Linked DNA regions of Drosophila melanogaster. The protein of the gene in region 1 interacts with the protein of each later gene in a pairwise test. Each region holds a gene or a part of one and is shown in the gene's direction. Other genes may lie near its edges. The genes, in order: narya and Tango11.

Region 1 (15,135 bases):
GGAGTGGAGTATCTCATGCTCCTTGAAGGGATTAGTTGACAATCATAGCGAATTGATTAGTAATTCTGCGATTTAATAACAAGCTAGATGGCTTATCATCGCCACGTCATCATCATGGCTGAGCATCGTTGAGCAGCAAATGATGCGAAAGTCTCCTGTCAACATGGAGTGTTGTCCATCTATCTCTATTTAGCCAGAGTTTCCATCTGGTTGGCACTCCAGGACGTTTGTCGACGGAATGACCACCATGCCAAATGCTGCTGGCAATGCAAACACACTTGTATTTTCGCGCAAAAGGCAAAACACCGAAATTTCATTTGCCCTGGGTTCCCAAATGGTTATCCTGGCCCCGTTCTCCTGGGGCTCGGGCAGGCCCATCGTTTGTTTGTTGAAATTTTCCAATTTGCTCATCAACTATTAGGGCGAGCAGGAAACGCAGAAAAACCAACAATGTTTGGCAAACAAACACACCCAGCAGCGCACCTACATACCATACATACATACATACATACATACATGGCAATATTAAGCGAGGCTGTCAAACTAAATTGGAATCGTAAATCACGCGGATTCGTGATGAATCTATTAGCTAATCTCGCAGTTCATTCGATCGTCATTCGCGCTACCCATCAGTCATCATACAATATAAATGTGATGACTTGAAACTGATTCGAAGTCTTTATGATGAGATAAGTAGCTAGAAATACTTGGCTTAGTATTATACGTTAAGTAGGCCAAAGGACTATAGTTTCCCCACGATTCCCTTTAGCAGCTTGCATATATTAAAGTAATAATCTGAATACATTTAGTACATAAATAGTATGGTCTATATTATATATTTAAAAGAATATTGAAAGAAACTGTTGAAATGTGGATTGCACCGACAGTGGGAAAGACAATTGAACGCAATTGATGAACTGAACCGAACTGGACATGGACATGGGCAGGGGCAGGGGCAGGGGCAGGACTGGAATGAGCTGAACTGGGGTGAACAGCACTCGTGTGTCACTTATGCCCAAAGTTTCTCGTCCGGATTGGCCAAACGAGCAGTGACATGTGCCAAGTGTGCTCATGTGCTCCGCTTCCACGGGCGAGGGGATTACCCAAGAATCATTATTTTTCAAAAGAAATGGCTATCAAAACTATTTGCAACGGACGCGGATGCCGGATTAAAAGCCACAGAGGGCTTTGGTGCGGCACATAACTACTGAAAATCCCTCGAATACGTCAAAGCGTAGTAGAAAAATCAAACAGAATTAATCCCGCCTTTTCTGTTCACGCAACACAGCTCCTGGGATTATGTATATTCGATCGAAATGTAATTGCATAGTGAAATGTGCCTTATTCAACAGGAGCTCCATAGAGGAGTGGGATTAAGTTGGTGACCAATAGAAGTCGAGTAGGACTTAATACAGATCTTAACTCTCGTTAATGGAATAGTCAGCCATGCAGACATTTAGTAATATGCTCCAACATCTTCTTCTCCATTCCAGTGGCCAATCACTCGCGCGACGAAGAAGCCGTCTCAGTGGCCATGTCGGATACGACGACCACGCCCCGATCTCGACACACCTACGTGGATGATGCGTATGCCAATAGCTTGCCACCGGATCTGCTGGCCTTTCCCGCTCGCGTGCCGCCCACCTCGCCCTCGATGCAATCGTCGCAGTCGAACATACCCGACCAGGTGATCTACGGCATCCGTTCGCCACCGTCGCTAACCAGTCCGGTCTACACGCATATGACGCCGCACGGCATCTACGGCACCAAGACGATGACGGCTCCGCATAACGGCTTTATGACGCTGCAGCATCCCAAGTCGCGCAACCTGGCGCTCATTGCCACCACCAACAGCAGTCGCCAGCACCAGCACCACCATCAGCTGCAGCAGCAGCAGCAGCACCACCACCACCACCAGCAGCAACAACAACAGCAGCAGCAGCAGCAACATCCGCTGGCCACCACATCGCCCTTCCTGCCCGCACCCGTCGTCTATTCGCCGGCCACGGGTGTGGTCATGAAACAGGGATATATGACCATTCCGCGCAAGCCGCGCGCTCCCAGCTGGGCGCCCAGTACTTCCGGTGCCGCTGGCCACGGATCCATTCAGCTAAGTGAATTCCAGAGCCCCACATCGCCGAATCCCAGCGAGACTGGCACCGCCACCACCGCGGAACTGCAGGCGGAGCCAGTGTACGACAACTTGGGATTGCGAACCACTGCCGGCGGCAACTCCACCCTCAATCTGACCAAGATCGCCGGCTCACAGGGGGGCGCTGGTCAGCAGTACTCGATGCGGGACCGACCACTTCCGGCCACGCCCAGCCTGACATCGGTGTCCTCGGCGACCAATGCCAGTAAGATTTACGAGCCCATACACGAGCTGATTCAGCAGCAACAGCAGTTGCAACAACAACAACAGCAGCAGCAGCAGCGACTGGGCTCCATGGACACGGAACCCCTGTACGGAGTTCGGCAACAGGGGATCACGATACTGCCCGGCTCGAGCATTAGCGGTGCCGGACTGGGCCACGCCGCCTACCTTTCACCCGGCTCGGGTGCCGCCGTATCGCCAAGCCACGCCAGCAGCAGCGGTGACTCTCCGAAGGCCGCCAAGATCCCACCACGCCCACCACCGAAGCCCAAGAAGAAGATGTCCGTGACGACGACGCGCAGCGGCCAGGGCAGCACCAGCCAGCTCTTCGACGACGAGGGCGAGGATGGCACCGAGGTCTAGTTTGGCACCCACGGCGATCTCCGCCATCGCCGGCAGCTGGCGATGTGATGCAATGTAGCGATGCAATGCATGCGATGGAATGGAATGGAATAGAATATGATGGGATGGGATGCATTGTGATGTCGTTGCCGACAGCGAGCAGCAGCAGATGCGGATCCAGTTGGATGATGAGGAATGGGGAATCCATGGCGGGCTGAAGCTGATGCTGATAACTTTATTGCGCGTATGGGATGTGGGATGCAGCCCCCCAGTCGACAACAGAATACAACATCAACATCAACATCAACATGAACGTCAACACATCCCCTGTTGCGGCTTGTAAAAATAGCCGGCGGAAGGATTCTGTTCCGTGGTTCACGCCACTGCGTGACTTGTGTGCCAAACGACTGATGTAGGTTTTAGTAATTAAATCGATGAACATGCAACACACCAGTTCTTCTTCTGGTCTGGAAAATGCGACGGGAAATATGTAATCTTCGGCGAGTTGGATGAAAAAAGAAAAAAAAAAAAAAAACAAATAGACAGACATACAAATCCGTATAGGGCGATAAAGTCGCTTTTAGGAGCATCAAATCCCAAATTCGTATAGGCGGATATACGTAAAACCCAATTTTAAAACCACCTTTTTTTGTGTAGACTATAGCTAGTTCGGTACAAAATGCATTATTCGTATATAGAGAGACATATATATATATATATATACACCAACGCATACATACACACACACACAGAATTTTAAACTTATATGAACCCTAGAAGAACAAGTATCCTATTATGAACAAGTATACATAAAGAACTTTCAAATCAACGACAGTTTATTCAAGCGCAATGAAGAGGAATAAAACACTCACTTTTTTTCCAAATTTTTTAAAATTGTACATGTAAAGGCATACAGTTAATCGCATTAGGCTACATACATATATAGTACATAGATACATATATATAAATATATATATATATATGCATATATATATATATTAATGATATATACTTATATTAGCGTAAGCAACCACTTGCATCCTTAATTTTTTTTTTTTAGTTTACGAAAGCCACCACGCGATTCGGGAATTAAACTACATGAAAGTATATTTATAGCGGGTAAGTTTGTTAAGTGCGTTTAGCGGTAGGATAAAGAGTTTGCATTTCGCAATTAAAACAATGAATTGAAACTTCTATGTATACATATAGTCTAGAGGAGGACGCGCAGCTATAATTACGATTGTACTAGTTATAAAGATATATTAAATAAATTGTATGTACATGGACTCACGTATGACATTCTAGGACTAAATATACACCCAATCTCCCATTACCGCTGAGAAGAAACGAAGATTTATAGGCAAAAAAACAAAAAAAACACTCCCTCAAATTACCCTCAGCCGACTCGTTTATTAGCCAAACTAAGCATCCAAATCAGCAGCAATCATTCGCAATACATCAGTACGAATATACCCACAAAGTGTCGTTGAGTCCAATGGGTAACATTGAATGCCAGCTACTAGCTAGCTACTAGTTGAGTCCAGTCCAGACCATTCTTTGCCATGCTGTACGATATTTCCCCCAATCACTCTGCATTTTCTTATCATTATTTATAACAATTTTACACTATATACAATTAGTTTCCTGCAGCGCACTGGCGATCTCCATGCAGATGCGTTTTTATTTAATAAAAATGCACTCTCAGGCTCTGCCAAACTAATTTATTTTTGAGCTTGTGGGGAAGGGAGGAGCAGGTGGAAATAGAGAACGACACTCTAAATAAAAATTAAAAAAGGGCAGGCCTGAAAAAGATCCGAGAGTTAAGAGCCAGTGCTTTCAATAGGTATACATATATATATATATATATATAGAGACGTGTAAAGTACAGCCCCAACCTTGCCCCTAGAAAATCGTTACTTGATGCGGATTTACTAGGCGAATCAACGAAACTACGAGTGTAAACATCCGACCCATACTTGGTTTTAAATAAGCAAAAGTATTACGTAAATCATAAGTTACCTTACATTTTTTATCGTGCTCGTTTTTTATTTTTTTTTTTGTGTGTATTTACAAAGTAATTATTTGTAGAGTTTGCTTTCGAATTTGGACAAACGCAACATGATTGTAATAAATATCTCAGAAATTCAAAGCTCTTATATGCAGGCATTTTGAAAAACCAGAAACAGAAACAAATATAAATACAGCAAAAAAAAAAAAAAAATATTGTAACGTTGCGAACAATTTGTTCAAATTAGCTCAAAATCAAAACAATTATAATTATAAATTGTAATCTAACTGTAATTGATAGAAGGGTTCTTATATATACGTTTTTTTTTATAATTTTGCATAATTTGCCTAACATATAAAATATTAAAATAAACTATGAATAAAAGGAATCCAACCAACCAGGTGTTTGTTATTTACTCGAACTGGGACTTCCTTTTTAGCCACAACAACCAAACAACTATTTTCTGCAGTGTACAAATGTCGACAGCTGTTCGCCTAATCGAAGCACTTCGATTCATGATAGAAAATTTAAAAAGTTAATGCCCGCCAGGGTGCTGTCGCCCTTTTTTTTTCAATATTACGCAACATAAAACTTATATTGAAATCAACTTTTAAACAAGCCAGTGTCTGTGTGTGCGAGTTTGTGTGTTTTTTTTTACGATGATGTTTTTATTATTTGATCAACGCACTGTTACCCATGCGGCAACTTAATTTGATCTGCTTAAATTATTTTATTTTACAATGTGTCTTGGTTACTTAAGACTAACAGATTTTTAATCCTAAAAATGTTAGGGAGAATTATAATAGTTGATATAACATAGTAATTATTATTTATTTGATTATTCTAATGAATTTTAAAACTAAGACTTTCTAGGTCAAAACCAGGTTAGGGAGGTCATGAGGGTGGTGTCGCTTGAGTCTTCTTTTGGCTCTAGTCCGAGGGTCAGCATTGACCACAGCTGCAGTTCCTAGCTTCCTTGCTAGGCTGTTGGGGTGTACATTAAGCCTTTCCATATATTTTTGGGCGATGTTCTGGAGCTTGTCTCCTAATTTGGGCACCTTGAGGTCGCGTTCGATGTCTCTTGTTCTCATATACCAAGGAGCCCCCGAAATTCTTCTTAAGGTCTTCGCCTGTAAGATCCGGATCTTAGTGCGAGTTTGTGTGTAAAAGGACAGCATGCTGCACACGCCCGAAAGCATGCAACACTTTTTTGTAAGACATCACAAAATGTTGCCGAAAAGTTTTTTATTCTTCCATTTACTTGTATCGGCAAAGAGCATGCTGTTTTTCAGCTGAAATGTGCAGCACGAATGTATATAATTGACCAGCATTAACGGGAATGTCGCTGTAGCCATGTTACACGGAAAATCTAGGTCTCCGGAACAAGCAAGTATCCTTCGCCAAGTGAACGAGGACTTCTGGGACACCACGCCAACTAGAGCATTGTCTACTGTTTTCCGAGGCATTTAATGGATATTTATTTGAAAATCACAACGCATTTCAAAGCATTTGATTGCTTGCGTTGTCCCACTTAAGTAGGCAATGCATTATGTAACGAATCAGCCGAGGGTATCCCATAAAACATAACTAGATATTTATTGAAAAAGAAACAAAAAAAAACGCAACACATTTTAGTAGATTTTCGCATTGGATTGTTTGTGCTTAGTGCTTGGCCCATTTACATACGTACACAATACAATTTGTAACATGTTAGCAATGGGTATCCCGCAGTCGGGACACACGCCGTCCATCCTACTTTTTTTCTTGCGAAAAAGCGGACAAGCAAGCTGAGCACAAAACTCGACAGTAGCAACAATGTAGTTGCAAAGAAGTAGACAGTCGGGCGAGGCAGAAGGAGCTGCTGCCCTGCCGAGGAAGCGCACAACTATATCTGAAAATTGGACAGCTTGACAGGCAAAGACCTTTTCATAAACAAGCGTAGCTTCTGTGTCCCGAGATTAGGACAACACAGCACGGTCGAAAGGAGCGCCGCATTAAGGTGCAGATCCAATACAAATCTCTAAATCCCTTTTTGTCATCATCCTAAGCTAAAAACTATTTTGTAAGCTACAAAATTGTGCGAGATAAAAACTAAATCCTTGTGAGGAATTCACCCAGCTCTGTTGTCAGTGGCAAATTGAAAGCTGGACACTTGACAATTTTACATATTGCAATATTCAGTTAAAATAAGCAGCGCAGCTTGAGCAACGACGACCTATTGTGTAGCTGGCTAACTAACAGGCATACGTAGTTATCAAATCCCATATTTCGTATCCGATAATTTATTCTATAAATTCATTCTTTCAACAATTTGATTAAAATGGAAATTTCCCGGCGGCTTCAATGCCAATTGAACGGGGCATAATTGATTTTAATTAAAAATTCCATTGTTTTGGCCCAAAAACGAAATATTTTTGGTGGGAAATCCGAATACAGATTTCCGCCCAACATTTTTCAGTGCGTTTTTTTTTTTTCATTGTAACATGGCTGAAGGGTCCCTCAATTAAAGAAAGCAAATGTTTTTCATAACATTTTTGTTGATTTCCAAAGGGGACAGGCCAAAAGTTAATTTGTTTAGCAATTTTTCAATATGTTAAATTAAATATGTTTTTTTTTTTATAATTAAATACGTTTATTCAGACGATTACTTGTTATTTCGACACTGCTTTTTGTGGCGCAGAATGTCGATCGTTGTCAGTCGCAACTCCCTCTTGCAGGAGTTGCAGTAATAGCCGCCGGAGGAGTGCGAACTGGAGCTACTGGCTACCTCCGTTGAGGACTCTGTGCTCGTTGTTTTCGCCGTGCGGCTTTCCTGCGCCTTGCGACGCTTGCATTTGGATCGGTGCACCAGCTGCTCCAGCACATCGAACTCCTCCAGCTCGAAATCGCAGCGCGTACACTGCCATGGCTCTGCCCGTAGAGTCGCATCCATGGCCGTCGTCCACTGCTGTTCGGCCAAGCAGCTGTACACCACGTGCTCCGATACGTTGAGGCCGCCCTTTTCCTCGTTCGGTGTCATGGGAAAGTCGACGGCAAAGGGGTTCTCCTTGAGCTCCGCGAGTCGCGCGGAAGGTGCCTGATGAGTGTAGAGCCTCTTGATGTCGGCGGGAAGCAGTCGGCGTATCGCATACGCCACATCCAGCGCCATATAGTCCACAAGATCTTGCCACAGCGCGCTGCTCCTATCGTCACTTGAATGGGAAGGTGATTCCTGTTTGCTTTTGAGGTCTGCAAATTGGACAGCATTAAGTACATACGTATTAGATAACTAAGCTCCATTTACTAAGAATGCCAAGAACAACAAGCATTTTCTATAACTGAACAGTTCAAATATCGACAATTGTATATGTAAATACCTAAAAAAAAAAACGTTTTTAAGCATATGTCGTTCCCATCATTTGATTGTTACAATAATAACTGCTTTAAAATATTATGGTGAAAAATCTTTGAACCTGAATACACCACTTGCAGGAAAGGTGTGGTGAACAGATTGCAAGGCGAGAGTGTTCTCACCCGGCAGAGTGGCCAGACCGCTGAGGTAAGATCCGTTAGCCCCATTCGGATATCTAAATCACAATTGTTTAAGAAGAAAACTTGCAAGGCGAGGAAAAAAACATATATTGGTCACTATGTTTCGAGTGCATTGCAACAAGTGTTTCCGTCATCGCAAAACTGATCCAGCCGTGCCCTTCCACTTGACCCAGTGCCGGCACGTGATCTGCGGCCCCTGTTTGGGCCAATCCTCGCTAGAAAAGAACTGCCCGCTATGCGGCCAGGTGCTCAAAGCGATCCAGATCAACCGGGATATGCCAACTAGCGTGGCCAACTACTTCGCGGATCCCCTGCGATTCCAGCAGATCTACCGCAAGATCTCCAAGTTCCAAGCGGACCAGCGAGCATCGGACAACCTGGGTTTCTACCGTCAGTTGCAGCAGCTGGAGCAAAACAAGCGCCAGCTGGAGGGCTTTTGCAAGATGGAGGCGCAGCTGAACCAGAAGGTCGTGGAGGAAAAGAAGCGAATCGCTGAATTGCGCACCTACATCGCTTACCACGAGAATGCGCAGAGGATGACGAGGCGCCGGCACAGTGCAGGTGAGAGATTCCATACGCCGGAGTTCAAGGAGGCCTGGAACACCTCTATCAGCACTTCGGACAAATCGCCGTCGGATATGCCTTCTGATAGCTCCCGCCGGTCCGCGGACTTGGATACCCAGTCAACGCGGAGAAGATCTTTTGGCAGCGACACTAAAGGCTTTCGTCTTTAGTCACTCCAATTACTTGTATAATTTTTTATAGGAATTCTAAGACTATAACCACTTCTAACGATTCAATTAGGTTTTGACCTTCCAGAAGATTCCCAATATAAAGAACCAGATAGATTATTAAGTTGCGCTTAAGGTACTAATTATCATCCGTATTCTATTACTATTACTATTCAAATCGAGACGTTCCACTACTCATGTGCGGGATATGATAACCATAAACGGAAATATAACAATCTACTTTAGCTTACAAAACTCAAAAATCCCCCTAGTAGTTTTAATAATTCCAACCAATCTGGGGAGCACTCACCATCCAGCTTGTCGTAAAGCAGTCTGCTCCAACGTCGGCGCAACTCGATGGCCCGTCTTAAAAGCTCCATACCGCTGCCGGGCATGGGCAGATCCAGTCCCAGCCAGCCGTCGCAGGCGATCTGTGTGATGCCCGCGTTCGTGTCAATGGCGAAGCTGAAGAGCAATAGCGTCTGGGCAGCCGGCAGGCGGATGCAGTTAATCAGATAGGGCTTGGCGGTCTCCAGCAGCGACCTGTTGTAGTACGTAGTTTTTTGGGGATTAGTATGGCGCTGCAATTTCGTACAGACGCACGCACTCACTGGTAACAGAGCAACTGGTGGCGCTTGCTGAGCGGAAGCTTGGGCGTGTAGAAGTCTGGCTTGGGCAGCAGATCGCTTTCGGTCAGCTTAAGCAGCTCGAAGTGCTTGGCGAATTGCGAGTTTGGGTGCTGCAGCACGAAGGGCTTGAGCCGCGTGTGGAAGAACTGCTGACCACCACCCTTGCAGTAGTTGAACTCGTCGCTGATGGCCAGCTGTGGATAGAAACCGCTGCCGAGCAGCAGCTTTAGCAGCACAACGACGCTGTGTCGGTCGAGCCGCGACGAACGCTCCAGCAGCGCCAACTGTCGAGGATCGAACCGCAGCCGGAAGTCCACGTCCCTCATATCGTCGCCCTGCGCCTCCTCCTGCTCCTCCTCGTCCTCCGCTACCCGTCCAGCGCTCTGCTTGAGCAACTTGCGCTGACGGGGTTGCTCAAATCGCTGGCGGCGCTTCATGGCTTTCAGCTGGCGCAGCTCACCATGTCGCGTTGCGCGCTCGGCACTGGTCAACTGGGAGTCCGAATCGCTGGCCACCACCATGCCGCAGCTCTCGAGGATGCGCTGGAACTGTTGACGCAGCTTGGTCACCTCATAGAAGCGCTGCTCCTCGATGCCCAAGCGACGGCACCACTGTCGAGTGCCATCGCGCCGCATCTTCAGCTGCACCCACACGTTGTAGAGTCGCACCAGGGTGAAGAGGTCGCCATGATCGGACTCCAGAGACTCCCGCTCGCGCACGCAGCGCTGGTCTGTGTGGGCACGATTCGTCAGCGGGTTCTGCACGCTCAGCATGGCGGCCAGGGTCAGCAGCTGCTCCACCTCGGGAAACACGCTGCCCATAAGCAGCATCTTGCCGATGGACAGCTCTACGGGCAAGTTGGCCAGCGATCTGCCCAGCGGTGTGATCTTTTCCTCCACGCTGAGGGCGCACTGCAATTAGAGATTAGAAGTCCGGTTGAATTGGGGTCTACACAGTTGGGTATCGGTGAAATGCTCACGTGTTGCTTTAGCGCCAGAATAGTCTGCTCGATGCGCTCCGTTTCCGGGGCCTCTATGAATGGAAAGGCCCGGACGTCGGGCAATCCCATGGACACCATCTGCAGCAGCATCGTGTCGAGCGGCACGCGGTAAATTTCCGGAGTGGGATATGCCTCGAAGGCGTTGTATTGCTCCGCAGTGTAGAGCCGAAAACAGACCTGCGCTCGGAAAGTGGGAATGTATGAGAAATGGAGCAACCGTGGGTTAGGTTCTAGCTTACACCTGGTCCCGTGCGACCAGCACGACCCTTGCGCTGATCCGCAGACGACTTGGACACCCAGAACTCTTTCAGACGCTGGCCCTTGCAGGTTGCGTCGAAGTTCATCTCCTTGACCTTGCCAGAGTCGACCACGAACCGCACGCCGTCCACGGTGAGCGACGTTTCGGCTATGTTGGTGGACACAATGCACTTGCGCATGCCCTCGGGTGCGTAGTCAAACACCTTGCTCTGGTCCGCGATCGCCTGGCCACTGTGCAGCGGCAGGACGAGCCAATGAGTCTGTTCGGTGGCATACTCGTGAACGGCCTCCACAACAGATTCGATTTCGTTTACGCCGCTAACGAAGATAAGGACGTCACCGCGCTCGCTGGCTAGGTAAGATGATTATTAGGCGATCCCTACAAGAACATGATAACTAAACTCACTCGGATACTGCTGGTCAATAAGGCTAAGCACCTGGACAAATGGAGCTGGATCGATGCGGTTTCTCTGAGAGCGTTTGGATGTCGCCTGTCCCGCCTTTAGTTCCAGTGCAGGAGGCGGCAGATAGCGCAGTTTGATGGGAAATAAACGTCCCGGCACCTGGACCAGCCGTGCGCCCTCCTCGCCGAAGTAGCCGTGGAAGAGCTCCACGTTGATGGTGGCAGACATGAGTATCAGCTTCAGTTGCGGCCGCGCCCTCAGTAAGCACTTGGTAACACCCAGTAGAAAGTCACCGAATAAGTTGCGCTCGTGGATTTCGTCCAAAATCAGGGCATCGTACTGGTCTAGGTTGGCGGCCACCGCTAGTTGCCGCAGCAACAAGCCCTCCGTAATGAAAAGGATGTTGGTGAGCTTCGTCCGACTGCGCTCGAATCGGATCTGGAATGCCACCCGACTGCCGTAGTCGTCCAGCAGCTCGTGCGCAACGCGCTTGCACAGGGAGACGCAGGCCAAACGGCGCGGCTGGGTGCAAGCTAGGGCAACAAAAGGTCGATCATTGGTAAGGCAGCCTCAATGGGAAGCCGCATACTCACCAATGCTGCGGTAGCCAAAGTCATAGAGATACTGGGGCACCTGTGTGGACTTGCCGCAGCCAGTGTCACCGGCCACGATGACCACGCGGGACGTGTCCAGTGCCTCGCGCAAGTCCTTCCGGAAGCGAGCAATGGGTAGATTGCGTTGTGTCTGCCGCAGCTTTCGGATACGCTGGAACTTTTCCGTCTGGCGGAAGTCTAAGTACACCAGCAAGATATGACGAAACTGGGACTGCATTTGGTCGCGCGCCTCCTGAAGCAGTTCGTCAGCGTCCAGCCGCAATGCCAAGTGCTTGCTGCGGTGATACGGCTGCATGCTGCTCAGCTCCGCCTCCGCGAGTCGAGGCGGCAGCACGGGCTGGCCCGTGGAGCGCATCATAGCCTCGTACTTGCCCACGAACTTCCAGAAGTCAGCCTCGTTCTCCACCAGACTCCTGCCTACCTGGCGGCTCTTGGCCTGCAGCAGGCCCACGAGCTCCGCCTTGTGATCCAAGAAACTGAACTCGATCAGATTGATCTGAGTCCTGCGGCGGCTGGAGGCATGTTCATCTGCCTTCTTCTTTATCCGAGACATTTTCACCGAAGCAAAATAGTTCCTAAAATTTGTATTTACTTCTTCCCACAGCAAACGATAACACTGCTACCGATAAACGGTCAGCTGTGCAAGAACCCAAGCCGATAACACAATTCTGGAATGTGGATGACTACTAACAAGGTTTATTTCCCTAGATTGCTAACAGAAGATGCTACCACATGGCGCGCTGGACGCCGGACAGCTTATTGTAGTCGGCGAGGTGGCGCCACACGATTCGACTGAGCCTGTACTTGTGGACAACTCCGCGCGGACGTGACGTAAGCGCGCAGCGTTCCCTCACCCGGACGAGCGATGAGTCCCGAGGAAAAGCAGCGATCTCGGCGTCGGCTACCTCGCGTAGCTCCGGCGGCAGGATGTCGTTCTTGCGCAGCGAGTTGACTCGCAGCCGCTCCACGGCGTTCTCCTTGACGCACTTGCGCCGCTTTACGTCGCGAATCATCTTCCAATCGGCATACTTTGTGCGCACCTGCTGCAGCTGTTAAGACAATGGGCTGGATATTATGTTCGCTTAGCTAGGAGTACGATGTTAACTTACCCCGCAGCCGGCTATTTGCACGGACTGGCACACAAAACCCCCGATCCTGGCCAGAGAATTCATGTTGTTGCTTTCGGTGGTGCTCTTCTTCTTTTTGCCTCTTTACTTTGTTCGCTATAGTGTCGGTTATTAACGCGCGGGACTATCGATAGGCAACAGCTGATGAGCCCATACAGTGAATTGCAAATTTATTGCCTATTATTTTCGTATACGAGAACTGGGTAATTTAAATGAAAAATACGATGGCGAAGCATGCGGTGTGGAATCTATAAGGTTAAAACATGGAAAGCCGGCTGACTTTCGACCTCTCGGAATAAGTTTTAATTAACAATTCACTCGCTTTACATAACCGCCTAGCAGCGCGATTCAAAACGAGCGCGTTCACACCCATTCGCAGTGGCGTACAATTGCTGTTACCATTCGCCGCGAAGCGCGTGAACACGTGTGCCAGTGTGCGTGCGCCAGTGCGTGCATGTGCACAGTCGAGCTTGCCAGTGTGGGTGTGTGTGGTCGTCTCACGTCGATTTAGAAATTTGCTCGTGCCCGCAGTTTGCCGTTCGCCGTTTTCGCCTTGTGTGTGTGGTGTGTCTACTCCGTATAGACTGCCAATCGAGTCCAGCTCCGCTTCCGAGCAGCAGCAGAAGAGGCATCGCAACTCAGCTCAGCTCGCTGATCCACAGATCCCGCAGTCCGGTGCAATTCACGGCCAGGCGAAAACCCAGTCCCAGTCAGCAGCTGAGGAAGAACAAGAACGACCAAGCAGAAGAAGCAGCAGGCCGAAGAGAGGAGCAGCCGCAGCCTTGCAGAGATGCCTTCTAGCGATCCCCTGCCGCCCAAGGAGGGCGCGCTCTTCCGCAAGCTACTTGTAAGCCGGTCTAGGTGACCCTACTGTCCCATACCTTCCCCTTCCCTTAATACCACAACTGTGCCGCCCCCTCCCTTTGTTCGTGCCTTTGGCCGGCTTCGGCATCCATGTGCTTTTTAGCCGAAGTCAGGTGGAGAGTGCCTATTTTTGGCAGAAGCAATCCGGAGGCGATGCCTCCGCTGCTCGAGATGTGTGGCTTCAGCGGGCGATTGCACAGCTCTGCTCAACCGCCGACGTTTGTGGTCGGCCCGCTGGTCTCATAACCTCAAAATTCGCGCTGCGCGGGATGCGAGAAACTTTGACTAAAACCTTTCTTCTCTGTGCTTTCTTATCAAACAGAAATGCTACGAACTGAAGCAGTACAAAAATGGCCTTAAACTGGCCAAGCAGATCCTGTCCAACCCCAAGTACATGGAGCACGGCGAGACGCTGGCCATGAAGGGGCTTACTCTGAACGGACTGGGGCGCCGCGAGGAGGCCTACAAGTATGTGCGTCTGGGTCTGCGAAACGACCTGCGCTCCCACGTTTGCTGGCACGTCTACGGACTGCTCCAGCGCAGCGACAAGAAGTACGATGAGGCCATCAAGTGCTACCGCAACGCGCTCAAGTGGGAGAAGGATAACCTGCAGATCCTGAAGGACCTGTCGCTTCTCCAGATCCAAATGCGCGACCTCGAGGGCTACAAGGAGACGCGCCACCACCTGTTCACGCTGCGTCCCTCGCAGCACGCCTCCTGGATCGGTTTCGCCATGAGCTACCATCTGCTGGGTGACTACGACATGGCCAACAGCATCCTGGAGACGTTCAGCCAGTCGCAAACGTCGATTGTATGTATCCAGCTGCCTGCCGATTCAATTTTATATTCCAATTCAATAAAATGCTCGTATTTCTTGTTCCATGTCTCTGCTCCGTGGGCAGGAGGCGCACGATTATCGGCACTCGGAGCTGCTGCTCTACCAGAACCAGATACTCATCGAGTCGAATCGTCTGCAGCAGGCCGTGGACCACCTGACCAAATACCAGGGCCAGATCGTCGACAAGCTGGCCGTTCGCGAGACCATGGGTGATCTGTACATCAAGCTGCAGCAGCAGGAGAAGGCAGTGCCCATCTTTGAGTCTCTGATCCGCCGCAATCCGGAGAATGTGCTCTACTACGAGCAGTACATTGCCGCCCGCCAGGTGACCGACTCAAGCGCCGTGGTGTCGATCTATCGCGTGTTCCAGGAGCAGTATCCGCGCGCCCTGTGCCCTCGCCGCCTGCCTTTGAAC
Region 2 (17,282 bases), on another chromosome or scaffold:
TTTTGTATATAGTATATTATTATGGCTTCCCTGCTTTCTTGGGTGGTGCATTCTTAATGAACAGCGCAAAGAAGTATAAATAGCTGCGGCGACTTGGGAAATAGAGTTCTTAACTGGTTGTTAGTTGCAAAAAAAAAACCATTTAGCACAATTGCAGGGCGAAGAATTAAAGCCCAAGCTTTAAGTTTCAAGGAACGATAGGAAAATCTCTAAAATTTGACATAGCCCCAACCTTAGCTTTTTTATTTCTCCCCCTAATCACGCTTACACTGCACAACCGAGCGTTAAAAAACCCATTCGATACACTTAAATTATTGACCTAGGACCAGCTACCCTAATAACTGTCCTGTGCTCCCCATTCCGCCCCCCCCCCCCCCTGGTGTCCAGCCACAAATCTTCCATCTCTATACGTAAATAGAATTTATCAAATTTAATTTCACGCTTCATGCGCTCATTTCTATATAAGTTTGGGTGTCGTGTCCTATCCGCAAAAAAAAAAAATGGCGAAGGAGCCCGAGGAGCGGAGGAAAAAGGCCAATGAATGTCAAAAATTGTGACCGTAAATGACGGGCCGCAGCCATTGGGGCAATGAGCTCTATAAATCTGGCAAGAGATAACCGGAAAAATGCTAACGAGCCGAATGGCCAGAAAGCTAGAAAACGCTCACTATCTGGGTAAAAAATAGAAACCGGAAAAGAAAAAAAACCATTTATATATATATGAAAATGATGAGGGACACTTAAAGTTATGAAATTGTAAATTTCGGTTCAGTTTGGTTTAGTTTCGCGTAGCCAAGAAAAAGAACAAATATTTGGACTCCCAAACACATACCATATCACTTTCCCTTGTCACAGGACTTGGGGCTTGGGTTTGGGGCTCCTGGGATCCTGCATGTTTTTGCATAGAAAAGCGGGAAGCTGGAGCATACGCACCCAAAAATTTCCATGTCAAGTGTTGTTCGAAAGTTGTTTTCAGCTTGACTTGGTTTCCTTACAGCATTCGCCTCCATAAATGTAATCAAAAATGTATTCAAATTGTTTTTATGGTGGCCGTGTTCAAACTTTCTGACGTTTCGCACATAAATTTTTGATATATGTGTCATGCACGGTGATATGGTGTGGAAAATTACTTTGGATTTTAATGAGTTGTCTGCTGATTTCGGTTAAGATGTGTGGCTGTTGCTTCTGTTTGGTTATCCAGCTACAGCTCGAGAACTTGAGATTCAGCATTTTCCATTACCTTCTTTGTGGTTCAAAGCGTTTTGGTGCTTTACTCAGAGCTCTAAAAATAATATTTGTGTGTGTGCTCCAAAAGTCTAAAATCACTGCTGACATCTTCTGAAAGCGTATGCAAAGATTTGTTCACGCTCGCAATGGCATATATTAGTCAGAAAAGTATTATTTTTCTTTCTTCCCTTCAATCTCCTCTTAACATGTTGGAGCACACAATTAACGGATTAAGCCCTTAACTAAATCCTCGTTCCGTACTAAGCACTTCCTGAACCTTTTGAGTACCGAAACGGAACCATTATACCCAAGAGCAAAACACCTTTGTCATAAACATTTCCTAATCAGCCCACAAAAGTTGACCCTTCACATGCATACAAAATCGGGTAAGTGGTGTACTCCAGCTTTAGCCGCAATCCTGCGCTCCTTGCTCCTTGGAAACTACAAATTTTCCAAGAGTTTGCACTAAAAAGCAATTAAAATTTTACACGACCATTTGCGCAAGACAATTATGAGGACCACATGGCCAACCAGGCCCCAAGAACCCACCATCCACGAAAGGAGCCCCAACGCCACCAACATCTAGACCAAGTCTAGAACGTCAACATTATGCCAAGACAATAAAACGACAGCGAGCGCCGCCAGGGAAAGCGAGAGATTTGTTGGCCAAATGCCACACACTCCACCAGAAGATGAAGATGGGAATGGAGATGGGGATGAAGTTGGCTATAACGAAGGAGCGACCGCCCGTTGCTCAACTGGCAGTCATACATACCTACGAGGCATAGCACCAAACAATTTCCACACATTTACGACACTGTCCAGGTACGGAAACAAATTTTTAAAGCGCCCAACGCAACTGAAGGACCGAAAAAAAAACGGCCAAAATGGCCAAGAAAAAGCGACCATTGCAAATTGAATTGTAACCAAAGTAGAGTCACCACCGAGCAGCATGAAGGCTAAAAAAACGGGGGATTAAAACTCGAGGGGCACTATGCTATGGCTAACCAAGGGCTGCTCGAAGTGCACTGGAAGAAAAATCGTATCCAATATATGATTGCTTGTTTTATTTAACAACATATTGCAGGGACGATTACAAGTTATATATGATAAGAATTTTACTTTAGATTCAAAAGGAATGTCAGAAGGAATCGTGATAGATAATGATAAAATGTGGAAACTCTATACATTTCCCTCTCGAATTTTGTTGCAGTGCAGCGTGTTTTGGTTGCAAGCCCATTAGTTGGCAGCAAGTTATGACTCTATTAAAAAAACGACGCCTTGCTGCACTTGCCACCGTCGCGGAAGTTTGGACACTCTCTCGCCTGATCCCCAAATGGGCGTGGCAGGGCGGGTTGTGGCTCCCTGCCATTTGTTTGGCCATTCGCGGACTTCAATAAACATTGGCAACATGGCAATCGTACGCGTAAGCTGGGTCTTTGATTGCAACCCAACTCATAATTGTAGGATATTGGGTGGGTCGCCCTGAGGGCCAAATGAAAATTCAGCAAATGTTTTAATTGCAGTCTGCCAAGGGAGCTGATTGAATTTGCATTTCAGCTGCGACTCGAGCTTCATAAATTGCAGTTGTCGTCTGCTGGAGAAGCCGAACCGCATGCCATTAGCTTCGATTCCATGAGCATTGAGCAGCATTCACCGCAAGCCAATAATCTAATTTTCGGCCATGCTAAAAGCCTACTATCCCTAAAACCCAAAGCTTAAATTGTTTTTTTCGAGGCAATAAAAGTTAACCTGTACCGCATAGGGCATAGGGCTCCAAAACTTGGCTAAAGAAACTCAACTCAACGAAAAGCCGAATAAAATACCAGAACGAGGGGAAAGCTTGTGGTTGCACGCCTGATGCAATTTACGGCGCTTTGTTAAACGCTTCAACGTGAAACCGAATGCCCAGGAACTTGCCCCGTGCTTCGTCCTGCGTCCTGCCAGATAGCCGGAGTAGAGCGAGAGGCATCCGCACAAGGACTGGACGGTCTAAAGTAAAGGATATACAAGTTAAAGGCAACATCCGTTGTGGGCCAGCCTGGCTGTGGCCATAAACAAACTCAACGCTCCGCACTGACCGTTCCCGGCCAGCTATAAAACAATTTCGCATATGGCTCCCCGAGCCCGGGACTCGGAGTTTTTCTCTTGCCTTTTGGATTTTGCACTGGAAAAAATTATAACTATTTTATTAACTCTATCATCTTAGATGGAAATGAACCCCCCAAAAGTGAGACGTTAGCAACCAATGCGAGTTCAGAACCTTATTATTCTTCCAGTGCATGTGTACCAAGTAGGAGTCCTTGCCAAAGTTTGTGGCTATGTCCAGGACCCCCCGGTCGCCACCCCATCCTCGCCTGGCATGCACCAACACCTGGTAAGCGCCTTTGTTGTGCTCCGATGGCTCCGTTGGCCAAGTGTTGCATACTTTTTTCGGTTGCGACTCCTTTTGCAGGCAGCATTTTTGCGGCTCTATGGGCAGCTAGCTTGTTTTTCTTCGAATATTTTTTTCGTACATTTTAGCTGCTACGCTGCCCCGGGCCGATATTCAACACTTTTTGGCTAGTGGGAAAATATTATGCTAAACTAAGGCATAGTTTGCAAGCCGAGATATTGTTGCATTCTGTGGGCTTTGGTGTTTGCGGCCATGTTCCTGCCTTAAATTCGATCCCACCAATTGTGGCAGGAGCCGGTGGTGAGATGCAATAGTTTTTCTAATTAAAAACACAATAAAGCCTTCGGACCGCGGCGGTCTTGGCCATTGTGAAGAGCTCCAGGCGCTAAAACCGCTGCTCCACATCCACATTGCTTCTGCTGCTCCTGCCGTCGTGCTGTCCTGGCTGGCTGCTCGTTGCCCACACAATGGCCATTATGACATCGTTATGTGGCATCAACTTTTTGCCTCATTAAAAAGGTAAGTTGGCTCAAAGGCTTCTTAATGCCCGCCTCCACTGTTCCTGTTGTTAAAGTCATCTGGTCTTAATTAAAGCCCGGATTAGATATGGCAATGTCATAATTGAAACGCTAACCCACTAAGCCTTGACTTTTGCCCCGCTTTAATTTCAATTTCTGCTCTCGAAACCCTTTTACCTCGAATCCTTTCAGCCGCAGGACCTCGAATCAAGAGGTTCCTTGGGTCAATCGGCTTTCGCCTTTCAGGCTTTTATTTTTTCTGTGCGTCGCAGTTTGCAGATTGAACTTAATGTCTGGTCAATGCCAATATTGATTTAAAAACTGCATTGGCATGGCTTTAATTGATGTTTGTATATGCTTAAGTACTTTAAAGTAATAAATTAAATATGAACTGTTACATTTTACCCCACTTTTGAGATCATGCACCTCTCTAGTTTCACAATTTTTCCACTACCCCCGCTGCTTTAAGCCAAATGCACTCATTGATTTTGCGGCATCTTTTCAAGGTCCTCGCTGCATTAAGAATCATATATCACAAGTCAATTTCCTGGCCACATAAATCACCGGGGATAGTGGACCGCACCATATACCATTTGTCTGGGCCATGTAGTCCATGTATCGCTGCATCCGCATATCTTCCATCCGCTTGACAATTATAAATTGTAACCTTGCCTCGCTCCGTGTGACATAATCGCGTTCGAATCCAATTTGGCCACGTGTAAGTGCAAGGGCAGGAGCGATTAATATTTTGTCTGGCGATGATGAATGGTCCGGAGCAACTGCAGTGCGCCACTGATTGAGTTATTGGCAGCAGAAGGGACGGGGCGGAAGGTCGGATGCAAATGCGATAGCAACACATACTACATGGCCGCAGACTTGTACCCAGTGCCTGGCCAACCATACATATGTACATATATGTATGGAGGGGGATCATCCAGCTACAGCAGCTCCACCTTCCGGATTCTCACAGCTTCTACGGCGACTCAACTCAACTCTGTGCTCCAGCTGCATCGACAACAGGCTTTCGGTCAAGTTTATTGTGTTAGCATTAAACAAGGCCAAAACCAGGGGAGCGAGGGGCGGGATTTGCATCACTTATCCGGGCAACGAGCCGTGCATGGTGATGCACTGAAAGAAATCTTAGAAGGCATATCAAAAATAATCCTTCACTTTAGAGTATTTTCATTCACCTTCATACTTTACGAATAAGTATCTAGATTAGATCTATTTAATTTAAATCTATCTTCCATATCTACCAATATGATATACTAGTATTTCTCTGAGTGCACCTCGGAGCTCAGAGACAGCAGTGGAGGCCTATTGTTTGGCCAGTCTTGGCCATGTTCGTTAAGTGGGTGCAGCAGGCGAAGGACTCGCAGGACTCGTAGCACAGTAATTACAAGCAGACGCAGGCCCATCTTCCAATCGTGGTTTCCCCCAGCAGGATCTGTCTGTGGCAAGGACATGGTTAGTACTATCCTGTCCTGCGCTGTCCGTCGGAGGAGTAAATAAAACTGTGCAGACAATTAAGTTTGTTTTGCCTGGGCATATTCTTTTCACCACCCATCCCATTTTTTTTTTCGGGCTCACGTTTATGGCCAAGTCGAGCAGGTAATGGCTGTCCGTTTTTCGTCCTGCTTCGTCCTGGCCAAGAAATTGCACTAATTGTTGTTGCCGGACCTCCAGCAATTGGCTTTTCGTCGAGAAGGAGATACAAACTTAATTTGCAGCCGAATTCGATTTTTGCTTGTGGCCTGTTGATTAAAATTCGTTTTGGAACTTCATTTAGATAGCAGATGATGCCTGTGGTTGATCATTATTTTCCCTGTGGACTGGTTTAAGTAGATTGATTCGACTGATTAAAAACATTCAACTTAACAAAAAAGAAATATACTAATCTTTTGCCACATCTTAAATTCCGTTTTCATTTTCATTCTGATTTCGGCCTTTTTTCTAATTCAATCTCTCCATCGACTTCAATTGATGGCTAATAAATTGCTTGTCACCTGTCCGATGGCTTTATTCGCAATTTTGTCAACTAAGTCGTCAGTTTGGCGATTGTCCTTGATGACCTGCTCAACACGATTTGGCTTACTCCCAACGAGTTTTCTTCCTCTGTCGAATGAATTTCCCCATTCATTCCCGCCATTTTTGGCTGTCACTTTCTTATTTACATTCAATTGGCATCCTTCGATTGAAGGACGTGAGTCTCGGCGTGCTGCCACTATCTCCCCATTTTATATTTCATTGTTATATCCCTTAGTCGAGAGACTCAAAGTTGCCTAGTTCCCCTAAATCGTGGTCTCCTACGGCCGAATGTCCCTCATTCTTCTGAGTGAAGGGTATCTGATAGTCGAGGGACAAGACTATAGTGTCCTTTCTTCCTTTTTCCTTCTCTCATTTCTTTTTCGATTTAATAAAATGATAAAGTGAAACAGAAAGCAGTCAATGCAGTTAGCAAAAGCAACGAAATTATTAGGTTCACTGAGCTTTTTCAGCTGGATTTCAAATTTTATTTAAATTAAAACGATTTTTTCAAATCGTTAATTTTTTTATTTAACAATAAAAATGGTTGCGATATAGAATTTTGAAAAAGCAAAACAGTTCGTGTTCGAATTTTACAGTAATTCCATTTCTTTTAAAACAGTAACGACTTTGTATTAGTATATGATTTTTAAATAACCATAAATTTTAAGATTATTCTTAACGTATGAAAATTGAACAGTGCACATGATTTCCTCAAGCCAATTGTTAGCCAATTTCGCACTTTGAGCCGACTTTCTGCCCCATGGCCTCTTTCACTTCCGGTGGCACACACTTCTTATCATTCGGCTAGTTGATTATTTCCGCTTTCCACTGTTTTCACTTCTCAATGTCAACTTGTTTTTGGGTCCTTTGTTCCATTGTATTTGTGATTATTTCGCCTGGCACTTTTTCTTGCCGCTTTCGCTTTTATTTTGTGTTAATTACCAATTTAAATGCAAACTTTGGACTGATGAAGATGGATGTGACACTGGCGAACAAAAGGATGGGCATTACGCGTGCCAGTCTTATTTTCCCAGTGTCCCTCTTTGTTGGTCCAACGAACTTGTCAAGAGGCTTTTTCAAGGTCCCTGCCCAAGTTGTCCTGAAAGGTCCTGGTCAGTGATACTTGGCTCAGTCTTTGAATTAATTATGAGCCTGTGGGTCAGATAGAAATTCCAAGAAATATAGGGTTTCCAAGAAGGTTTCTAATTCCAATTCACTGCAATTTGAAAGAAATGTTTTCGGAATTTAAAGATAACAATTATATTACATATAAAGAGCATTTGCCTGAGAGGCCTGCAGTTGAGTGCCTGCAGAAAATTGATTTAAATTGCCGCTAAAAGTTGCTTTCGATTTTCAAGCAATTACTTTCTGGCCATCAATCAATCACGACTTTTGCCCGCAGTGAGCACTTACACTGCACTACATAAACAACGACTGACTGGCACACATAAATAACCCCATTACAAACCTAATTACAATCAATAACAATTTTATTGCTTGGCCAACGACAAAAGCGAAAATGTCAGAACTGAAATTGTGTGGCAGCGATATCGATCTTACTTGTTGACATGGGCCAATTACAAACCAACAAAATGCACTGAACTGCAGCCAGCAGCCAAGAAAATTTATAGAAAACTAGATAATTGAATGGCAAAGGGGGCAAAACCGCCCACGCCAAACAAAAACGAACAGCAAACTGGTTGACAAACAAACTCCATCGACCTGACTGCAGACGCCCACTGCCAAGTTAGTTGCACTATTAAAAGTGGAATTTATATGGAGACGCCTCGACTACAGGAGCAGTCAGTTCCTTCTTCCTTCTCTGACCCCGCCAAGGTGTTACCTGATCCCAGAGTATCTTGTCCATCTGGCTGGGTGTTGCCCACACTTTGCTCTGTAATTAATTATTTGATAAAAGTACAAGCATTAAGTCAATTAAAACTAAATTTATGCCAAACGTTATCTGATTCTGACAAAAGGCGTGATTTATGCTACAGCCAAGTTTTCATTTAGTTTTTATTTTATTTTACCGCGGAAACTAGTTTTTCTGGCTAATACTTCTTACCTATTTTCCATTCAAAATGTTGCTAGCTTTTTCTTAATAACGAATATAAAATAATAGCAATAATAGCACAGCTAAATATTATAGGTATGATATTTTTCATGTTAACTGAATTAGTAGTAGTTTTCATAAATAGTTTTTAATATTTTAATACAAATTTTACACATATTTTCTTTTCTTCAAAATCATTTCTACTATATTATTTTGTACAATTACCGCCTGGTTGGATTAATTTATTTATGCACATTGCCCACAAAGCCGAAAAAACCTGGGCAATCAATCAAAAATTTAAGCCAAATGCCAGGATCCGCCAATTTAAACGCTCATTAAAGGACGAAGGACGAAATGCGGTGGGTGGAGTTGTGAAAATGGCCAAAATGGGCAAAATGTCCGAAATGGGAACTGCGACAAGCGCACAATTTGCTAATGTTGACGCCATTATTGTATAATTTTCGTCAAGTGGGCGGGGCAGTCGGCGGCGGTCGGTCATTTGTATAGCAAACCGCAAATGTCGACGTCGAGGTTTTCCTAGCCGCTTTCCATGATTTTTTCACCCGCCATTTGCTTTCTTTTCTGACAGTTTCCGCGTCATTTTTCTATGGCATTGTGCACTGAAATAAATTTGTAATATAACATAATCACACATACTGTTGTGCATAAATTTTAATATATTATTAGAGATAATAAACTTCAATTATAATTTATTTGTTTTTAAAACAAACAATTCTATAATAAATATACTATGTTTTTTCCAGTGTATTGCGAGCAGGTCTTTTGGAGGTGCAAGCCCAGACTTCGTCATTATTTTGGCATTATGTGTGTGGGGTGGCAAATGGAATGGCGAAACGGATGAGGTCCACCAAGTTTCGGTGGCTCGCAAACATTCGTAAATGTCATTAACAGTTGTAAAGGCTGCGTGCCACGCCCACAGCCAAGAACTTTATGCGCTCCGTCCGGAAAAGCGGAACAGCGGTAGGTGGTGGGTGTTCGCTGGATGGAGCGGGTATTTTTACACAAAATTACTTCTTTTATTCGCTGACTGACATTCATCATCATCATCATCATCATCGGCCGCAGTTTGCTGGCCGCTCATAATTTGTATTTTGATTCAACTTGAAATCCACTTGGAGTGACCTTAAAGTCTGGCAAGTGCTAAGTGAAAATCGATTTATGGAGCTTATCAGGAATCAACTAACTGACTTGATGGAAACATACATAATAAACAGCTGTCCTTGTGCGTTTCTTCATAGCATAGAAACTATGTTTTTTTTTTATTTCATATTTAAATGTAAAAAGTACTATCTATATGCATACCACATAGATTACAAGTATTGATTATATAAGATGTCTAGATCTTAAGCGCATAAGTTCGTACAGCTAGATGGGTTTTTTAACTATAATTATGTGTGTGAAAATTCATTTTGTTTAATGTGCGTGTGTCGGCGAGTGTAAAATCAAATTTTGTTACTAAAAGTAATGGGCTGAAGGGGGGGGGGGGGCTGTATTGGTGGTCTAGAACAATATGAATTATGAATACGTATTATATATACAAATTCGAAACATAAAATAAAAACAAACTGAAATCAAAATAAAAATAAGAATGGCCACAGAAAATAGAAGGGTCAACTCCCGGCTTAGTAGACCCTGGGCAGGATGTAGCTGCGCACCTGGGTGCTGTAGCGCTGCCAGGAGGAGTGATAGCGCGCCTGATTCCGGGCGTTCGCTCGGGTGGCGCGATGGAGCAGGAGCAGGATGATCAGACTAAGACCCAGAACTGGTGGCCAGGCCGGACGCAGGGCCATGGGAGCAGCCAGGGCCAGCAGGGCCACGATGTCGCCTAGATAGTTGGGCTGGCGTACCCATCCCCACATTCCGCTGAGCAGCAGACGGCTTCCCTGATACGTGTGAATAGTTTCGATGTTGGCGAAGATCGGACTTTGCGAGTTCAATCGGTATTTGTACTTGTAGGCGCAACTGAATCGCTTGACCAGCAATCCCAGAGACAGCAGAGCAGCCACTGCCAGCGGAGCATACCAGCAGGAGATGGGTACACGCTGCTCGTAGAAATACTTGGTGACCGCCGTCAGCAGATATGGAGTGGCTGCGTAGCGCAGGAGCAGCAAACAGCCGTAGCCTTCGTGTTGCAGCTCAAAGGATGAGCTCAAGTGGTGCTCGAAAATAATGGCGTCCAATACGTAGAACAGCAAGCAGCTGGCCGAGAACAGGGTGGCAGGATCATAATTTACATTGTTCCAGTAGTATTTGGCCTGGTAGAGATAGCCCTCCTGTTCACCCAGCTGCGGCTTCTGGGGCCACACGAGCGTCTGGTAGATGTAGCAGGTGGCATAGATCAAGGTGGTCACCAGGGAGAGACGGTACTGAAACTGTTTCCAATCCACGCGTCCTAGCCACTTGGGATTGAGCTGTCTGCCCAGCGCGAAGTCCACCACAAAGCTGCCAGTCCTGCCATAATCATTGGTCAGCGTTTGGCGCAGCACATTGTACTTGGCGGTGTCCACCAGCCAGTAGCTCCAAGCAGCTGCCACAAAGGCGCCAACGAGTCCAAAGATGCAGAAACGCAGATAGTGACGCAGAACGAAGGTGACCACTGGATACTTCAGATACTCGGCCACTCCACTGGCAATCAAAAGCGTAAGCGAAACTGCTAGACAATTAAACTTGTAGGTCTCGCGGGTGAGATGAACCCTTCGTCCTGGTAGCAGTGCCACCAGCAGAAATACCACCACCTGATAGGCGGCAAAGGCACCCACCACTCGTGGCTGGAACACCTGGCGCGTTAGGTAGTTAACATCCAGTAGTATACCCAGATTGAGGTGCTTAAACTGACAGGCGTTTCTGGCCGTACAGCTCCATGTCAAATAGTAGACGGCGGTGGGCAGAAGTAGCAGGAACAGGAAGGCGCCTAGCCAACCGCCAAATTCTCTAGGAGCCTTCAACTGACGGCAGGATATTTCCGCCGGTGTGGCCGATTTACGGGTTACATTGAAACTACGGAACTGATCCTCCTCCAATTCATCCTCCTCATCAATATCCTCTTCACCCGTAGAGTAACTACGCTTGGAGGACTTCTCATCGTCGTAGACGGATCGGGACACACTCCTACTATAACGACTGCCCTCTTCGGTGTTTGTCACTGGTGTTCCAGCTAGATTTGAGATTGTCTTCGACACCGATCTGCGCAGTCGTTCGGTTATGCGTTTGCGAATGGAATCCGTGTCCACCTCGCCGTCTCCCTCGGCACGGATCTCGATGCGCTCCGTGGTTGTGGTGGTGCTGCTGGTAGTGGTACGGCTGAAGCTGTTGCCGCTGTTCACGGAGCTTGTGTTAAATGCTTTGTTCGGTGCGCCGCTGGATGTGTTGGTGGTCAATGTCATGGGCAGATTGCTGGTTGACAAACGAATAGGCGATGATACCTGTAATTTAAGATCATAAGTAAAGATGTAATAAGTGATAAAACAAAGTCAGAAACTATATAACCTTAGAAGAATATACAAAGGGACATGATTGTACAAAAATATGTGGGTACTCAAAACTGGGTTAAAGGTGTTTTGAGTACACTTATCAGATTCCCCTCTATTTTTGTAATCAGCAGTTTAGCTCAACAATTACAAATCCGTTATCTTAGCCCGGAATTTCCTTATGGTAGCATATGAGGGCAGAACTCTAAGCTGATAAGCAGGGCGGTGGGTGCTGCTTATCAGCTTCATAAAACACACAGAAACAGAAGCTCGAAATTTGTAATAAAGGTAGGACAGTTACAGTTAATTATGTAGTTTAATTGGTTGTAACGATCGAAATTAAATAGAACTAATATTTCGCTATGCTTTTATATTGAAAGCAATTGATTTCAAAATTCTAAACTGCTGATGGTTGGAATACTGATCAAATATAGCTAAGCACTTATCCACCGGCCAGCAAAACTGGTTTGTGCTGGAGAACTCACCTCGGAAACCTCTGGGATGGGTGTGCGTGCCTTGATGGCGGCCTTGATGGGCAGCGAGGAACCAGATCCCGATCCGGTCAGCGGACCCACCGACGACCTCGGCCGGCTGGAGCGACGGGTGCGCGGGCCAAGATCGGGCGAGGGCGGTGCGACGACCTTGTTGCGTGACGGGGAGGCACGTGTCCGGGTGGCGGGACCAGCGGTGGCGGTGGCGGTGGCGGTGGCACCCGCAGCTGTCACGGAGCCCGTACGTCGGGTCACCGGCAGGAGGCTGGGCTGCTTGGACTGGGCCAGAAGTGGACCGCTGGACACGTCTTCCGTGCGACGCGGGCGTCTCAGGCGTCGATCCATGGTGTATGAATTGCGGTCGAAAAAACGTGCTGCAAAATGGATATGATCAGTCGTTGTGCTCGGCGAGTGCTGCATGTTATTTATAGTTTACAAAATACACACAATCTATTAATGTACTTAAGTAACGCTGTGGTTTTCTCTAGTTTCTTTGCTTTCTTTATTTCTCTAATTTTCTGTATTTATTTGTGTTTGCGCGCCGAAAGGAAAAGCGACGTCGCTGCCGCAACTGTACATTCCGCAGGCAGCGACGCTGGCAGAACGCGCTCTCTCTCTTGCTCTCTTCCTCTTGGCTGGCAGTTTTTAAACGATGTTTAACTTAGCTTAAACAGCTTTTAACGCTTCACAACTTAGTAACTCACTTCTGATGGGATTTATTTGTAGTTTTTCACTTTATGGGGCTATTGAAACGCCGTAAATTCAGCATAAATCACTTGATAAAAAAGACGCGCGTCTAGTTGTCGGCGGATGAGAAAATTTTGTTGTAAAATGAGCGCGGCCCACTGCGTTGGTATTTTTCAGTGTTGGCTAACGCCGAACGGCGCCTAACAGCACGCAGCGTGTCGTTAACAGTGGTTTAGTGGGCACTTTAAGACAATTTAAAATGTATTCAAGGTTAATTATTTTAAAGTATTAAAAGTACTTGTACTTATTTTTACATTCCCTTAAACATTAATCGAACCATACCAATGCGCAAGTATTATAAATCGATAGAAAACTTTTTGGAGTATTTGATCTTTGCAAAGACTAACAGTACTCATTTTATTTACATATGTAGGTTATAAAGACCAAAGTTGTCGCTTAAATCGAGTTGTAAATTATTTGTTCAAGACAGAAGAATACCGCAAACTTTTCAAGAAACAAAAACATATTAATAAAATGAATCAAAACAACTGAAATAACTTCTTAAATACCTAGTTTTCTACTGATATTGAGGTAGATAATTAATTTGGCTAAAAAGGAGCTAGAGTGCCGGATCTGTAGAGTGGAAGTAGAGTGACTGTCATTCCTGGTATTATTTAGCACATTCTATATCAATCTCCTCACACACATAACAAAAGGCAGGAGAAAAATTGTAAATTATTACGGATTTCTCGGACATTTTTCTGTCATTTCCCGAGCAATGTAAGTAGAAAGCATTCGAAAAACCCAATACGCAACAAACACACGCACACAAGCCGGACGAAAATGTTGCGCTTGCCAAATTCTGGTTATTAATTTGTTATGAAAACGTCTCTCTCACGGCCGCCTTCTACCTAAAAAAAAAAAATTGGACAAACAACGAAAAACCAAAAGCAAGTGAGGCCCATTGGATCAGTTGAAAGGATTCCCCAGGACATCGCCATGGTGACCCCGCAATCGCCGACGCCCATGTTCAATGGATTGGACGATGATCTCTACAGCGACGCCAAATATGCCCACGAGATTAACGACAAGATGCGGGTTCCCAAAAGAATAAAGGCCACCGGGGAGTATTCCAACGAGGATCTGCTGCTGTCCAACCAGAACGGGATGATCAGCTCCTGGAACTATCACGACAAGATCGACATGAATGTACCGGATCGAATTGTGGTCCTGGGCCACAATCAGCATCTGGAGACGCGATCTGCTCCGCGGGAAATCCAGCTGGAGAACTCCATTCTGCCCAAGAACCCATCGGTCGGATTGGTGCGCGTCCAGACGCCACCGCGCATTATCACCCTCACCGATCAACACTTTCCCTCGGCCTCCGAGGAGAGCTCGCCCATCCGGGCCAATGGTCATCATTTGTATGGTAATGATCTCGACGAGGACGCCGACGATGAGGAGGTCCATGCCACCCAATATGTGCGTGCCAATGGAGTCGCCCGTATGGGATTTCAAGGCAATGACACCAATTCCGTTGAATCGGACTCGCAGGTGAGTAAAATATGCCATACAAGCAACAATTTTCCTTTAGTTTTTCAATTCAATTGCAAGTGCTTGTAAATTAAATCGATGGGCAGAATGAGCAACTCTGTGATTTCTGTTAAAGAGCACTTCATTTGATGGAAGTCTAGACCCTAGCGATCCACACATGACGCAATAAAACAACCAAAATTGTTAATAGATAATAGATAGATAGCGATCACACTGCGCTTGCCACCCATTCAGTTTGCAAAGAGATTACCATGCCTGCTGGTTTTTATTGAATTCCTAATACGGCTTTGATAAGACGGCTGACCCAATTTCCATCGACTGTGTGGAAACACACTCTCACTTTTTGTTAATCGCTGGAGTAGCCGTGTGCCTCCGGTCGATCCTCGCCCTCCTGTGTATCCTTAAGGCGCCTCGCAAAAGGACGACACTTCCAGATGTCCACCTCGGTGGCCAGGCACTTGCGAAAATCGAAATCGCACAGACCCAAACTGTACGAACCCTCCATGGGCTCGAAGTAGTGAAGGCCACGGCCAATCTTAATGACCACTCCCGAGCTAAGAACGATCTTGCGATCGTGCAAACTGTCGTCCATCTGGAAATTCATCTGGATGTTGCCACCGGCCAGATCGCTCTGCATTTGCTGCAGCATCTGCAACTGATTCTTGGGCGCCGTCGCATCTGGGCGCGTAGTGAGGCGAATATACTTTAGATAGCGACAGTTCTTGACCAGCACCTCGAAAAAGTTAAGCAAATTCCTAAAGTGTGGTGGCTCCGTGAGGTGTGGCTCGTTGAGATGGGCCTCCCGAACCGCATCGTCCAAATACGGACCAAACAGCCGCTGGTAGCTTCTGCCCCTGGCACCCTGCTCGATGGTGATGTGATCCAGCATACGGCTGGTGTGCAAGTGACCCTTGACCTGATCCCTCAGCTGTTTGGCCCGCGCCTCGTACATCTTCAAATACTTCCCACACAGCTGGCGGCGACTCGGCTCCGCATCGGCCATCTGGGACAATTTGAAGATGCTCTCCTCGTAGAGTAGTATCGCCTCCATAATGTGACCCGTCTGCTCGCATTTCAGCGCGCTGATTATCGCCTCCAGTTTCGGCAGCTCGCCATCATCCACTTCTGCTACGTTGGGACTGGTTGTCATTGCTGGGATCGAAAGAAATTGGTTGGCTATACAGAAAATTTCGAGTTGGGCGTTTTTTTTTTTTTCGAATGTTTATTGCTTATATTGACACCGGAAATATTTGGGGGAGCTCTGAAAAATGACTCTTGCTTCACATTGATAACAGAAAACTTTCACAAAGCAAACACTTAACATGGTACACACATCTAAATCCTATTTGGCGCAACTTATCTTTGACTACCTTATGTGTTCCAGTTGACCACAGGCAGTGCCAGCAAGCGCTCGCAGCTGAATCAACAGCAGCACAACAACCTGGATGCCTCAATGCTGGCGCACCGAGAGGGCACGCCCATGGGCGAGCTGACGCCCCACGAGGAGATCCTGTATCTGAGACGCCAGCTGGCCAAGCTGAATCGCCGGGTGCTGAACATCGAGATCAACAATGAACAGCGCACGCAGCGGGAGAAGATCGTCTACTGTCTGGGCCTGGCCTACTTCGTTCTCAAGACAATATTCTGGCTGAATCGCAACTAGACGCAATGTAGAGCCCACTATGATGGTTAGCGATCTGCGCTGGGTGCCAAGACAACCACCTTGCTATGGACACCCTTTTTGGAACAGCTTCTTTCGTTTCTTGACTTTTGTGTTTCTTTTGTGGAAAGGCTCTGAGAGAGACTTTGTTTTTTGTTTGCCATAATTTTGTAGACTAAGCTCCGTAATAAATAAGCGCAACATCGTTCTGTTTTGTACACCGTGGAAAACGAAAAAAACAAAGGCCCCCATACTTAATTTGTAAGATCTGGCACTTAAGGAGCGTGTATCTAAATCTAAGCTTTAATCTCTACGTGTTTCATCTGAGCAGCCCCCAACACGAATCCGAATCATCACAGCAGCATTGCATTGAAAAGATATTGTTTAAAAGGGTTGTTTATATTTTAGATCTGTTAACATTTGATAATCCCAAAGTGAAAACAAGAACTTTAATGGTATTTGTATGCGAAATCCCATACGATAAATAGTTAAATATATACATAAATATAATATTATACACTAAATCCCACAGAAATCATTGCATTGATTTTTGCATAACTAGCGGAAACGAAGGAAATCCATTTAGAGTGTAGCATGAATTCATAACGATATTTAAAATAAAACGTTTAAAGTACCAAAACAAACCATATGCTTCGTTAATTTTCTACCAGGAAATAAGTAGATTTCGGTTTTCAACGCATTTAAAAAATGTATTTATTTTAATTTGTTGGTTTTCTCTTTAAATAGTACGTATAGTAATCAATTAAAACTACCGATTAAATGCAATTACATCTGCTTGTCTCATCTAACTTCCGACTTCCTCTTCTGCTATACATCTTTAGCTAACAAGACGTTAAACATTAAGTTTAATGCAAAATGACGAAAAGACCTGAGCGAAATTTCGTTCGATTCATTTGCGGTGTGTGTATTGTTTTTCGTGTATTTTGTCTGTGAAGTGGATTGTTTCTTTCCCTTTTGCCACCCGATCTTCGATCAATCGCTATCATCCAACTACTTAGAGAACAAGATGCAATTGTTTGTATCTTTTTATTTATAATGGAATTATCGTTTACTTTACACAAATAATATGCAAGGGGACTACTTTTCTCTTTCATTTTCCGAACGACTCGCCTTTCCAGGCGAAACGCCGCAGGATCGAAAAAAAAAACACCTCAACGCACA

The links.
Region 2: the proteins of narya (region 1) and Tango11 interact in a two-hybrid assay, tested with the Drosophila melanogaster proteins (one large-scale study listed by BioGRID).

What each region holds. Positions count from the first base shown.
Region 1 is NC_004354.4:19,466,814-19,481,948, forward strand, and holds narya (narya), read left to right. Parts: upstream 1-8,249; 5' UTR 8,250-8,353; coding exon 8,354-8,989; 3' UTR 8,990-9,242; downstream 9,243-15,135. Other genes in the region: kek5 (kekkon 5), read left to right, coding at 1,494-2,737; CG32533 (uncharacterized protein), read right to left, coding at 7,369-7,952, 9,297-9,529, 9,598-10,526, 10,595-10,792, 10,855-11,225, 11,280-11,810, 11,871-12,444; mRpS14 (mitochondrial ribosomal protein S14), read right to left, coding at 12,617-12,940, 13,001-13,063; Naa15-16 (N(alpha)-acetyltransferase 15/16), read left to right, coding at 13,809-13,865, 14,205-14,693, 14,785-15,135. UniProt on the Drosophila melanogaster protein: Required for the formation of DNA double-strand breaks (DSBs) together with nenya and vilya during the meiotic recombination process. Plays a role in DSBs processing into crossovers.
Region 2 is NT_033778.4:21,716,239-21,733,520, reverse strand, and holds Tango11 (transport and golgi organization 11), read left to right. Parts: upstream 1-13,557; 5' UTR 13,558-13,666; intron 13,667-13,675; exon of another isoform or gene 13,676-13,837; 5' UTR 13,838-13,885; coding exon 13,886-14,440; intron 14,441-14,688; exon of another isoform or gene 14,689-14,786; coding exon of another isoform or gene 14,787-15,590; exon of another isoform or gene 15,591-15,762; coding exon of another isoform or gene 15,763-15,765; intron 15,766-15,824; coding exon 15,825-16,103; 3' UTR 16,104-16,741; downstream 16,742-17,282. Other genes in the region: LBR (lamin B receptor), read right to left, coding at 9,864-11,663, 12,194-12,619; CG30398 (uncharacterized protein), read right to left, coding at 14,787-15,590. UniProt on the Drosophila melanogaster protein: May play a role in mitochondrial and peroxisomal fission.